3 linked regions of the Stegostoma tigrinum genome follow. The protein of the gene in region 1 purifies or fractionates together with the protein of each later gene. This does not show direct contact. Links are inferred from orthologs where the notes say so. Each region holds a gene or a part of one and is shown in the gene's direction. Other genes may lie near its edges.

Region 1 (3,752 bases):
TTTTGGTTTCGTGCTGTACTACTCTCTGACAGTGTTCATGTTCTGAACTCCACTGAACTCAGCATTGAGTCCTGAAATCTGTAAAACGTCTCAACAGAAAATAAGATGTTGCTCCTGCAACTTGCTTCTCTGGGACACTGCAGCAGGCCTAGGATAGAAATGTGCACAAGAGAGCAAGAACGTAAATTGAAATGGCAAGCAACTTGCAGATCAAGGGTCATTCCTACACATAGTGTAAGGTACACCACAAAACAATCACCCAGTTTGCGTTTAGTTTTTCTGATGTGAAGGAAACTGTATTGTGAATAGAGGAGATTGAAAAATGTATCGCTAAATCTTTGCATCTCCAGGATGATGAGTTTGGGATCTGGGGGACTGAGATGATGAAAAGGTAAATGTTACACCTTCTGGTATTGCATAGCCATGTGTGTGGTGTATAGTGAAGAGGCTTCTCTTGTTCACTTGGTCCATCTGAGTCTCCTCTTCCTTGGCATTTTCATTTCTATTTCAGGGGTAGATTGACCACCAATATCCATCACACCCACAGTTACTTGACTAACCTCCTCATGCCCTGCTTCTTCTAAAGAGTCTATTCCATTCTTAGATTCTGCAACTCTGTCACTCTGTTCCAACTTCTGGGGGTGCAGGCTCTGAAGTGCCTTCCTTTTTCCTCAACAGAGGAATTCCACACCCCACAATTTAGTTGACAAGGCCGCAAGCTGTGTTGAACCCAATGTCCCACACTTCTACTCTCACCCAGAACAGTGACAGAGTACAGAAACATACAGAGCAGTAATTGCTGGAGAAACTTGATTGCTGTTTTTCTGTTTTGTTTTGTCCTGGTGAACTTGCTGTCAGAAATGCAGAAGCACCCTTCAACTCAACTCCCTCGACTCAAAACTTTGACTCTTTTTCTCTTTTCACAGATGCTGTCAAACCTGCTGAGTTAACCCAGTATAATAAAACAAAGAGCTGTGAGGTCTGAAGGTCGGAAATACAAACAAGAACACCAATTCACGTCTTAAACTTCCTCTAGCACGCTCCCTGTATGCCAATTTCAAACTACAACTCCCAGAGCCCCACCGGACAGCCGCGCGTGCGCAATGAGAGCACCTTGGCCGGGGCGTGACGTGTTTCGACGACGGGTCACGTCGCCCCGATGACGACCCGCCCCCCTCCAACCCGGTACGTCGTGTTGCTCGGCGCCCGTGCGAGAGCAGACCGGGCCGCGATTATGGTGCGGGGACAGAGGGGCAGCACAGGCGCTCGGATTTAGCACGGAGAGACGGTTTGACTTGATGGCTCCGAAACCGGACCCTAGACCCAAATTTCAGGAAGGTGAGCCCCCCGCGGGGATACGGCGATTGGGAGGAGGCGGAGGGGAAAAATGGCGCCGGGGCCCGGCTCCTTCCCTTCCCCCACCCACTCCTCAGTGCGCATGCTTGGAGGGCAGCCTCCCTTGGTACGAGGGGCTTTGCAGGCGCCTCAATGGAGATTTTGCAGCTGGTTAGACTGCTAGATGTAAGCACATTGTACTCGTTCCTTACCCTTTGTACACTTATTTGTGCAGAGTATAATCGCGCAGAATGTTTCCTCCGCCAATTTGCATGTATGTGTGTTGTTTCCCCGTAATCCTCTTCCTCTCCTTATTCCCACCTACACCACCGCACCCCCCCAACGTTTTCAGCGAAAGTCAGATTTGTGCCATTTTTGTCTTTGGTTTCAATGGAGCAAGTTTACATTTGTGCTGACAACTTTGCAACGACTTGCTCTATGTGCAGAATGCAACGAACCATTTATTGCAATGCACTTTCCAAGGGGTTGTCAAAGGAATTGCTTCATTGGCCGTGCCCTTTTCCACATCCGTGAGGAGGAGGTATGTAAGTTAGTCTGGCTAAACGTGCTTAACGTTGCTTTATTTGCTGAAACCGTCTATTTCTTCTTGTGGCAAAAGAGACTTTGCACCTTTCTATCTTTGCTTCGACCATGGTTTCTCCCTGGAAGGAAATCTGGAATTCGAGGACTTCTACGTATTTAGTGAAACTGTCCTACCTTACTCGTGACCTGATTAAAATATAAGCAAGAAGACATAAAATTATACTCTTGTGTTGTATGACTGCCAGATGGGAAGTGGTTGTAAGGCAATATACAAGTCTGGATTGTGTTTCTACTTTACACCACTTGTGTCTGCATTGGCAAATACAGACATAAGATTGAAAAAAAGGTAAACTTTGGAATTACGTAGCAAGCTCATTAGCAGCTGCAAAGATAGCTTCATATTTTGGGTGTAGACTCTTTGTCAGAACTGTTCTGACACGGAGTCTCCATCTGAAACAGCCTGTATTTCTTTTTTTTCAGGTGCTGGTGAATTTGCTGTCTAGGTAAAACAGAATATGCTGGAATCATTCAGCATCTGTGGAGAGAGGTAGGTAGGGCTGATGCATCAGGTTCATCTTTTTTAATCACATCTTAACATTATTTGGTTTTAGCTGTTTACAACTAAATGTGTAGTAGTTTGGATTGTACGCGAGTCAAGTACATAAAGGCAGAGGGAAAACTGAAGTATAATAGAACTACCACTCCAGAAGGGTAACATTGTGATTGGTTTATGAGAAGTTGTTAGAACTGCATGCATAGGAATTTTTATTGAGGGAAGGAGTTGCCGTGAAGAAAAATGGGACAAGAAAATGAGAGGTTGAAATGGGCCAGTTATATTGATGTAGATTCCTCACTGGCTTAACAGCCATTGCTTTGCTTTTGAAGTGTGGTTACTATTGTCATTGGCTACCATGTTTTCCTAAATGAGTGCGGGACCAGAAGTTGGCAGAGCATGTTGACAAAGTGGTTTTAAACATAATTGGGATGCTGGACATTGTAAAAATGAATATGTAGTGTATAAAAACAAGTTATGATTATTTTTTATGCAATACTGATTTAGTTTCAGTTTGTCTGTTATTTGGCTCAGTGTCAAACTCTGCAAAGGATGGGATGGCATTAATGAGGGTGTAGAAATAATTCATGTGGATGGTTCCAAGGATGAAAGATTTCACCTGTATTGATAGTGTGGAAGATAGGACTATTCTTGTAGAATAAAAAATTAGGTGGAGATTTGATAGAGGTGCTCAAAATCGAGTTGTTTTTTCTTTATTCATTCATGGGATGAGGGTGTCACTGGCTAGGCAGCATTTATTGCCCAAAGGGTGGTTGAGACTCAGCCACATTGCTGTGGGTCTGGAGTCACATGTAGACCAGATCCGGTAAGGATGGCAGTTTCCTTCCCTAAAGGACATTAGTAAAAATTTTCCAACAATCGACAATGGATTCATGGTCCCCATTAGACTCTTAATTTCAGATTTTTAAAAAATTGAATTCAAATTCCACCATCTGTCATGGCGGGATTGGAGCATGTACCCAGAACATTATCTGGGTCTCGCAGTTAACTGTCCAGTGATAATACCATTAGGCCATTACCTCCCCATTTCAGGAGAGAGAAACTGTTCACATTGGCAGAAAAAAATCAGAGGGCACCAATATAAGGTGAGTAGCAAAAAGAATCTAAGATGACATAAATATATCTCTTTCATGTGTGCTAAGGAATTGGAATGAACTACCTGAGAGAGTGTAAAGATTGGATTCAGTTTTAATTCTCAAAGGGAGTTGTAATGGACAAGAAGACAAGAAAGACAAAAACTACTTCAATGAACAGAACTTGTCGGTCTCAGTGGTGCAGAAGGATTTGGGGGTTTGAATGG
Region 2 (3,752 bases), on another chromosome or scaffold:
TTGAACCCTGTCTAGGACACCGCACTTAGCTTTGGGTATTGTTCAGGAAGGAAATATTGGCCTTGAAAGTAATTTGGCACAGATTCATGAGAATGATATCTTGGCAGACAGTGCTAAGTTATTAGGAGACATTCCATATACCCGTTTTCACAGAGCAGAAATGTGAGGCGTGATCTCTTTGAGGTGATTAAAACTTTGAATTTGATGGGATAGATTGAAACAATTCTTCCGTCAGCTGGGAAAGTGAAAGTATCATCTAAATGTTTGATCCAAATTTCAAGGGATGATAAGAAGTATTTTTTCACAAGATATTTGGATTTGTCACCAAAAGGCAAAGGATGTTGAGACACTTGGAGCTTACAAAGTTGAAATTGATACTTATTTTAATTAATTGGTAGATAATTAACTACAAGGATTATGGAGTGAGTGGTCGGCAGATAAAGTTAAACTATCTGACGAAGGGTCACTGGGCTTGAAATGTTAATCTCTTCACATATGCTGCCAGACTTGTTGAGTTTCTCCAGCAATTTCTGTGATTGTTTCAGAACTTCAACAATTTCAGTTCTTTATTTTACTAGAAATAAATTATAGGTCAGTTGCGATCTAAATGAATGCTGGCGCGATTTCAATGGTCTATTTTCACCCGCAAAATGAAGGTTAAATTGAGGATACTCTTCTCAAACACTTCTGCAGTATTATCTTGGGCCTACAACGAATGCCGTAAGACAACATTTCTTCTTGCAAGTAAGACTCAATTTTATTTGACTTCTGGGTAGGACGGACCTCAACATTCACACCACGAACTTTCGTGTATATTTTTCCCCTCCCGAAACAAATTTGTTAGCTGGTTCCATCTGAAAACCACTCTATTGTCCTTCCAAGCCGCTCCAGTCTATTGGTTATTGATATTTGATTGACGTAGGATGTGGGCGGGATATCTATTTCTATTGGTTGCGATGACAGTCAGCGACGTGTGTCCCCACCCTGTTCGGCTCTGGATTGGTTGGGATCGGCCATTAGTTGCTCTTTGTTGGCCCAGAGCGGGTTTTCGGTCTGGAGCCGGCGTTGGGAGGGCAGAGGCCTTCGTGGATCATAATCATAATCATCAGCGACAGTCTCTCAGCGGCTTGGAGCGGACATGAGCGGCGGGGTGTACGGTGGAGGTGAGTGAGCAACAGCGGGGCCCTGCGTACGGTGCTGTAGCCCCAGCTTGAGGGGTAGTGGCGCATGCGGGAGCGGGAAGGGCAGCGTGAGGTTGGAGGCAGTTAGGCTCGAAGACCGAGATTTCCAGGCGTTTCATCTCTGACTGCAGCGTCTGCACTTCTTGCTAGTTCATCTCGTGGACTGGCTCCCCTTTAGTCACTGCTTCATTCATTTCTCACTCACATTGCTTTGTCTTAAAAACTTCTCCTTACTTCATATAAACAGGCCCAGATGCAAAACTTTTGATTTTAGGTTGCAGACGGCAAACTCAGTCTGACCCTAGTATTGCTAGCCTTTTCTGTATTTCTGAGATGAAGGTTTAGGATTAAGGTTGGACGATATGACGAACGCGAAAGGAATGGCAAATGTTTAAAGTTGGGACTGTCTTGACAAATTAAAATTGAGTTCTTGTGCGTGTCGTATCTTGGATTTAAGTTGCGCTTAGGAAATTACATTTTAAAGGGTATGTAAACATAACAAGTTACACAATCATTGATTCTAACTAGGTCGTGCATAGTGTAGTTGTGCCAGCTTAAAAAATCTAATTGAGATTTTGTCTCATCTGAAAATAGAAGTGGGTCTTTGAGACCCTTGGGCGTGCTGTGACATTCTAGATGGTGCTGATCATCTTATCTCAATGCCATGTTGTCTCTAGAAATCTATCAGTCTTTCTCTTGACTTTAATCAATGACAAGGCTTTCACAGCCTTTGAGAGAGGTTTCCAAAGATTTGCTACCCTCTGAACAAAGATATTTCTCCTTGTCTCAGTCTTAAATGGCTTGCCTTTTGTGAGACAGTGTCTCCCGGTTCTAGTTCCCACAGCCATTGCAAACCTCTACTCTGTTCTTGTTATAAATTTTATAAGTTTCAAGAAATTGCACCTTTATTCCCCTCAACTCCAGAGAACACAAGCTCAACCTCTTGAGAGCAATCCCAACGTCGTGGGAATTGTTTGATTAAAGCTACTACTCAATGCCCTCCATTCGTGCAATCGTAGAATCCCTACAGTGTGGAAGCCGGCTGTTTGGCCCATTGAGTTCACCCTGACGTCTGAAGAGCACCCACCCCCATGCCCCCTCCCTGTAATTCTGCATTTCCCATGGCTAATCCAGTTAGCCTACTCATTCCTGGACACTATGGATGATGTAGCATGGCCAATCCACCTAATGTTCACATGCTTGCACTGTGGGAGGAAACCCTTGCAGACGGTGGGAGAATTTGCAGGCTTCACACAGATAGTCGTCTAAGGCTAGAATTGAAGCTGGGTCCCTGGCACTGAGGCAGCAGTGCTAACCATTGAGCTGCCCCATTATCATAGACAATGAATTTATTTCTTTTGATTGAAAAGTTATTTTTTACTGTATTAATGCATTTTAATTGATTTCTCAGTCACAATATTTCTTGCCATCAGTTCCATTCAGTTTGTTTCTAATGCTGCTTTTTAAATAAGTGGAGAGCATGAAAGACCATTCCAAGAATTGTTATTTCATCTACCTCCGTATCCGGAAACTGCTTTTGGGGCTGCAGCTTATTCTTCAGAGAATCACAGATGCCATTTCTTGTTTTTCAATTCTGTGTCATAGCATTGCTGTCAGAGGAGGAACAAAAAGCATCATAAACATGTTTGAATTTGGCTGTTTTAACTATAAGGTGGATTCAGGTAGATAATGCAGTTGATGTGTGGCCTACAAGCAAGCCTTTTGGCAACATCTGAAATCGCAGGCTGAGTAAACAAAATAAATGCCAGTGGCATCTAGTGGAATGTAACCAATTGGATGCAAAATTTGCTCACAGGCAGGAAATGAAGGGTAATAGTTGCACAATTACCTGTCAACAGGAAGACTGTTATAGGCATTCTTCTAGGCTCAATATAATGCCCCTGATTTTTTGAGTATGTGTACTTAAATGATTTGAATGTAAATGTAGGAAACATGATCAAAAATTTGTGACGAGACAACAATTGTGGTTGATCACAAGGAGGATACCTAGACTGCAGAAAGATGTCAGTGGACCCCATTGCCTTTTAGCCCAGTTGGGTAGAAAAGTAGCAAATAGTATTCAACGTAGAGAAGTGTGAGATGATACATTTTTAGGAGGTCAAGCAAAGCAAAAGATAGCCATTGGGCGAATGTTGAGAGGTGCAGGGGAAGTGAAAGATTTTAGAGTATATGTTCATGTATGTCTGAAAGATGCAGTACACGTTGATCAAGTGGTAAATAAGCCATGTGAAATCCTTGTCTGTATTAGCCAAAGTTAAGAATATAAGAGCCAGGGAGGTTATGATGGAACTGTACCAAAAGTTGGTTAGGGCACAACTTAAGTAATATGCGATAACAAAGTGTAGAGCTGAATGAACACAGCGGACCAAGCAGCATCAGAGGAGCAGGAAAGCTGACGCTTCAGTCCTATGCCGGGTCTAGGCCCAAAACGTCAGCTTTCTTGCTCCTCTGATACTGCTTGGCTTGCTGTGTTCATCCCATTCTATACCTTTTTATCTCAGATTCTCCAGCATCTGCAGTTCCTACCATCTCTTATGTAGTGTGCGGTTC
Region 3 (3,752 bases), on another chromosome or scaffold:
GGCAGTAAATGGGATAATAGGTGAGAAATAATCAAACTAGACACAGATTGTTGTCATCACCATGGTTTACAAATGAAACACGCTTTATTACCCTTAAAAAAAAGATATTTCAGCACTTGCCTAAAAGGCATTTTAAAAGAGCAAGGCTAGCAACATTTGAAAATATCTTAGGACAGTTACAAGGAATGTGATGGATAACATACGCATTTAATGAAATGGAGCCATATGCATATTTTTTCAAAGGGGATGGATAAATTGAGAAGAGCTTAGAAAGACAATAGCCTGACATCACATGATTATGTAACAATTTCAAAGCATGGAATTACAAGGTGTAGAGCTGGATGAACACAGCAGGGCAAGCAGCATCAGACGAACAGCTACGCTAACATTTCTAGACCTGAAATGACAGCCTTCCTGCTTCTCTGATGCTGCTTGCCCTGCTGTGTTCATCCACGTCTACACCTTGTTATCTCAGATTCTCCAGCTCTTATTACTTCTTCAAATCATGGAACTTGGGTTTCACCAGCTGGGTAAATATTTATTGAAATTTCTTTTGTCCTTGAAGGTGGTGGTGAGCTGCCTTCTTGAAAGGCCCCAATCTATTTGGCATCAGTCCACAGACAATGTTGTTAGGGAGGGAGCTCCAGGACTTGTCCCAGTGGCACTGAAGGAACATAGATACATTTACGACTGGCGAGTGGCTTGGAAGGAAAATTGCAAGACGTGCTGTCCCCATGCATCAGCTGTCCTTATCCATCTAGATGGTAGTGATTGCTTGTTTAGAAGGCCCTGTCCAAGAAGCTACAGTGAATTTCCACAGTGCAACTGGCAGACGGTGCATGTCACCGCCACTTGCCTTCGGTGGTGTAGGGAATGAAAGTTTGTTGGATGCTAGTGCCAATCAAGCCTGCTGTCCACCCCACACAGGCAAGACGACTCACGTAAGGGAACACTTGACAAGGGGATGCCCGACAGAATGCAGGTCTTAGGTTTAAAGGGCAGAAAGCCCAGGCTGCTCACCCCTGGGTTGTCGAGTGTCACGGGGCACTCGACCGCTCAAGCTGAATCGGAAAGGGGGACTGGAACAAAAAAAAGTGGGCGTTGGAGGAAGGCATATAGAAAACAAGGTGATCTAATCCAGGTGTACGAGCTCCTCCGCAAAGCGGACCCCAAATGCAACATAAATTGAGCAGACCAGCTCCGGCACAGGACAGGGTTATGATGGTGCGCGCGCAACCCCTCCCCCCACGTTGTGGGAGGCGCGCGCGGCTCCTTGGGATTGCTGCTTTAATGTCCGCCATGTTTGCCGTGGCGCATGTCGCGGACCGACGGCCAAATTTCGGTTTCTCGGGCTCGGCTCGGTCGGCATGAGGGGCATTTCAAGGAGCGCCCTATCCACCCAGGGGACGGACTCCTTAACTCGCATCCATGAGCGGCTCTGGGCGTCCGGCCGCCCAATTAAGACTGGTCTAAAACGCCATCTTTGTGCCAGTGAGGTCCGCTCCTTTTCGCTGCGCGGTGTCTGCTGTAGTAACCCCACGGCGATAACTGGGGGGGGTGGGGGGGGAGGGGGTGTGCGGGGAGGGGAGGGATTTTTTTTCTTTGTCGGAAAATTTTCTTTTATATAAAAAAAACAGGAATCCTCTCCCGCGCACACCATGAGTAAACTGTCGTTCCGAGCGCGGGCGCTAGACGCCACCAAGCCGCTCCCCATTTACCGGGCGAAGGATCTGCCGGACCTCCAGGATTGCGTCTCCATCAATAGGGCCGTGCCGCAGATGCCGACCGGGATGGAGAAAGAAGAGGAGTCGGTGAGTGAGAGGGGAGGGAGGATGGTTGGTGGGGGGGCCGGGGGGCGGGGAGAGAGGGAGAAACGGCGGCCGCTGGCGTTTTACTCACTGCGCAAGCCACGGCTCCCGCCGCCATTGTTATCCTTTGCAGCCAGGGGACGTTTTGGCGCGGAGATTTGAAATCCCGGAATCGTTTTTTTTCAAAAACAAACGTGTTGACATACACATTACTTTCGGGCGAAAAAAGTTCTTGTTTAACTTGACACGGAACTGAGACATCGAACTTTTTTTTGCCGAACCTATGGCACGATAACCATCCTCCTGCAGACTGTTGCTTTTGATGGTTTTTGTCCGTTTATTTTAAATAGTCCTGCCCCTTGCCCCGTCTGATTGGCTGGAGCCCCTGACAATCTCATTTACCGGGTAGAATTCGGCCGCTGATTGGATGCCGGCGATGACGTGCCGCTCGGCGGGTAAACACCGAAGCCCATGCGTCGGCAGCTTGTTGACAGTTCGCGTCGTAGAGTTACTTCTCTGGGAGAGTGGAGGCTGAAATTTTATTTAACCAAAAAACTAAATGACCCTAGATCTTGAGGCGACTCAGATGTTTCGCCCCTGTTGGAGGCCGGTTTGGCAGCAACCTGTGCTATTTGTGATACCCGATTATACTTAACATTTAATGCAAATAACTAGAATTTAATGGTACTTTTGTGGAAGTCATTTTCAGTGTCCTAACACGGATTGAGAGATTAATATGTGGCAATGAATGGCGATGTTTCTGCACTAAAGCTGACTACACTAACCAAGGAAAAAAATTTTGAAACGTATGGGATTATTTTTGCTGTTAAATTCTTCCCTACGCTAATTGCTTTGTGTAATGCAGTCAGATGAAACATGACAATAAATGCAACGTACAAAATACAGATTGGCTGATTAGTATTCTAGTGCAAATGGTAAGGCAGATGTTCACATGAGAGATGATGGGAACAGCAGATGCTGGAAAATCCGAGATAACAAAGTATGGAGCTGGAAGAACACAGCAGGCCAAGCAACATCCTAGGAACACAAAAGCTGATGTTTCGGGCCTAAACCTGATTACCCTGCAGTTTAATCTGGTTTCATTTATGTGCTAATTTAAACCCTACCTATTTTGCAAGGAATTATCAGATCAAAGCAGGAGATGCGATCAGGCCAATCTATTAATTTGAGACCTAGAAAGACTAAACTTGGCCCACTGACAACTTTTTCCAAAAGATTTGGGTCTGGTCAAGTCGAGAACTGTTTTAAGTACTCCTCTGTTCCACCTGCATAGATGCCCATGTGGTGCAGAATATGCTGCCTCACTGCCAATGAAATTAGGAAAATGCTTTCTCCTGTATATTTTCTGAATTTGTGTCACTTGAATGCTGGAGCCAAGGTCAGTACCAAATGTTTAGGTTTACTGCAATCAGTTCTGGTCTCCCTGCTTTAGAAAAGATGTTGTTGAACTTGAAAGGGTGCAGAAAGGATTTACAAGGATGTTGCTGGGACTCGTGTGTTTGAGGAATAGGGACAGGCTGAACAGGCAGGGGGTATTTTCCCCTTAGAGCATCAGAGGTTGAGGGGTGACGTTATAAAGGTTTGTAAAACCATGAGGGGCATGAATAGGGTGAATAGATTAGATTCCCTACAGTGTGGAAACAGGCCCTTCGGCCCAACAAGTCCACATCGCCCCTTGAAGCATCCCACCCAGACTCATTCCCCTATAACCCACACACGCCTGAACACTATGGACAATTTAGCATGGCCAATCCACCTAGCCCGCACATCTTTGGACTGTGGGAGGAAACCGGAGCACCTGGAGGAAACCCACGCAGACATGGGGAGAACGTGCAAACTCCACACAGACAGTCACCAGAGGCTGGAATCGGACTTGGGTCTCTGGTGCTGTGAGGCTGCAGTGCTAACCACTGAGCCGCTGTG

The links. Proteins that work in one complex are often made in the same cells at the same time.
Region 2: the proteins of morf4l1 (region 1) and actl6a purify together in Homo sapiens (affinity purification with mass spectrometry; 6 studies listed by BioGRID and IntAct, with this or other methods). This does not show direct contact. The link is inferred for Stegostoma tigrinum from reciprocal best matches to the Homo sapiens genes MORF4L1 and ACTL6A.
Region 3: the proteins of morf4l1 (region 1) and epc2 purify together in Homo sapiens (affinity purification with mass spectrometry; 5 studies listed by BioGRID and IntAct, counting the BioPlex papers as one, with this or other methods). This does not show direct contact. The link is inferred for Stegostoma tigrinum from reciprocal best matches to the Homo sapiens genes MORF4L1 and EPC2.

What each region holds. Positions count from the first base shown.
Region 1 is NC_081386.1:32,984,059-32,987,810, reverse strand, and holds the start of morf4l1 (mortality factor 4-like protein 1), read left to right. Parts: upstream 1-1,155; 5' UTR 1,156-1,298; coding exon 1,299-1,338; intron 1,339-3,752. UniProt on the Homo sapiens protein: Component of the NuA4 histone acetyltransferase (HAT) complex which is involved in transcriptional activation of select genes principally by acetylation of nucleosomal histones H4 and H2A.
Region 2 is NC_081367.1:36,939,403-36,943,154, forward strand, and holds the start of actl6a (actin-like protein 6A), read left to right. Parts: upstream 1-998; 5' UTR 999-1,138; coding exon 1,139-1,163; intron 1,164-3,752.
Region 3 is NC_081360.1:83,954,808-83,958,559, forward strand, and holds the start of epc2 (enhancer of polycomb homolog 2), read left to right. Parts: upstream 1-1,252; 5' UTR 1,253-1,367; coding exon 1,368-1,496; intron 1,497-1,637; coding exon 1,638-1,811; exon of another isoform or gene 1,812-1,877; intron 1,878-3,752. UniProt on the Homo sapiens protein: May play a role in transcription or DNA repair.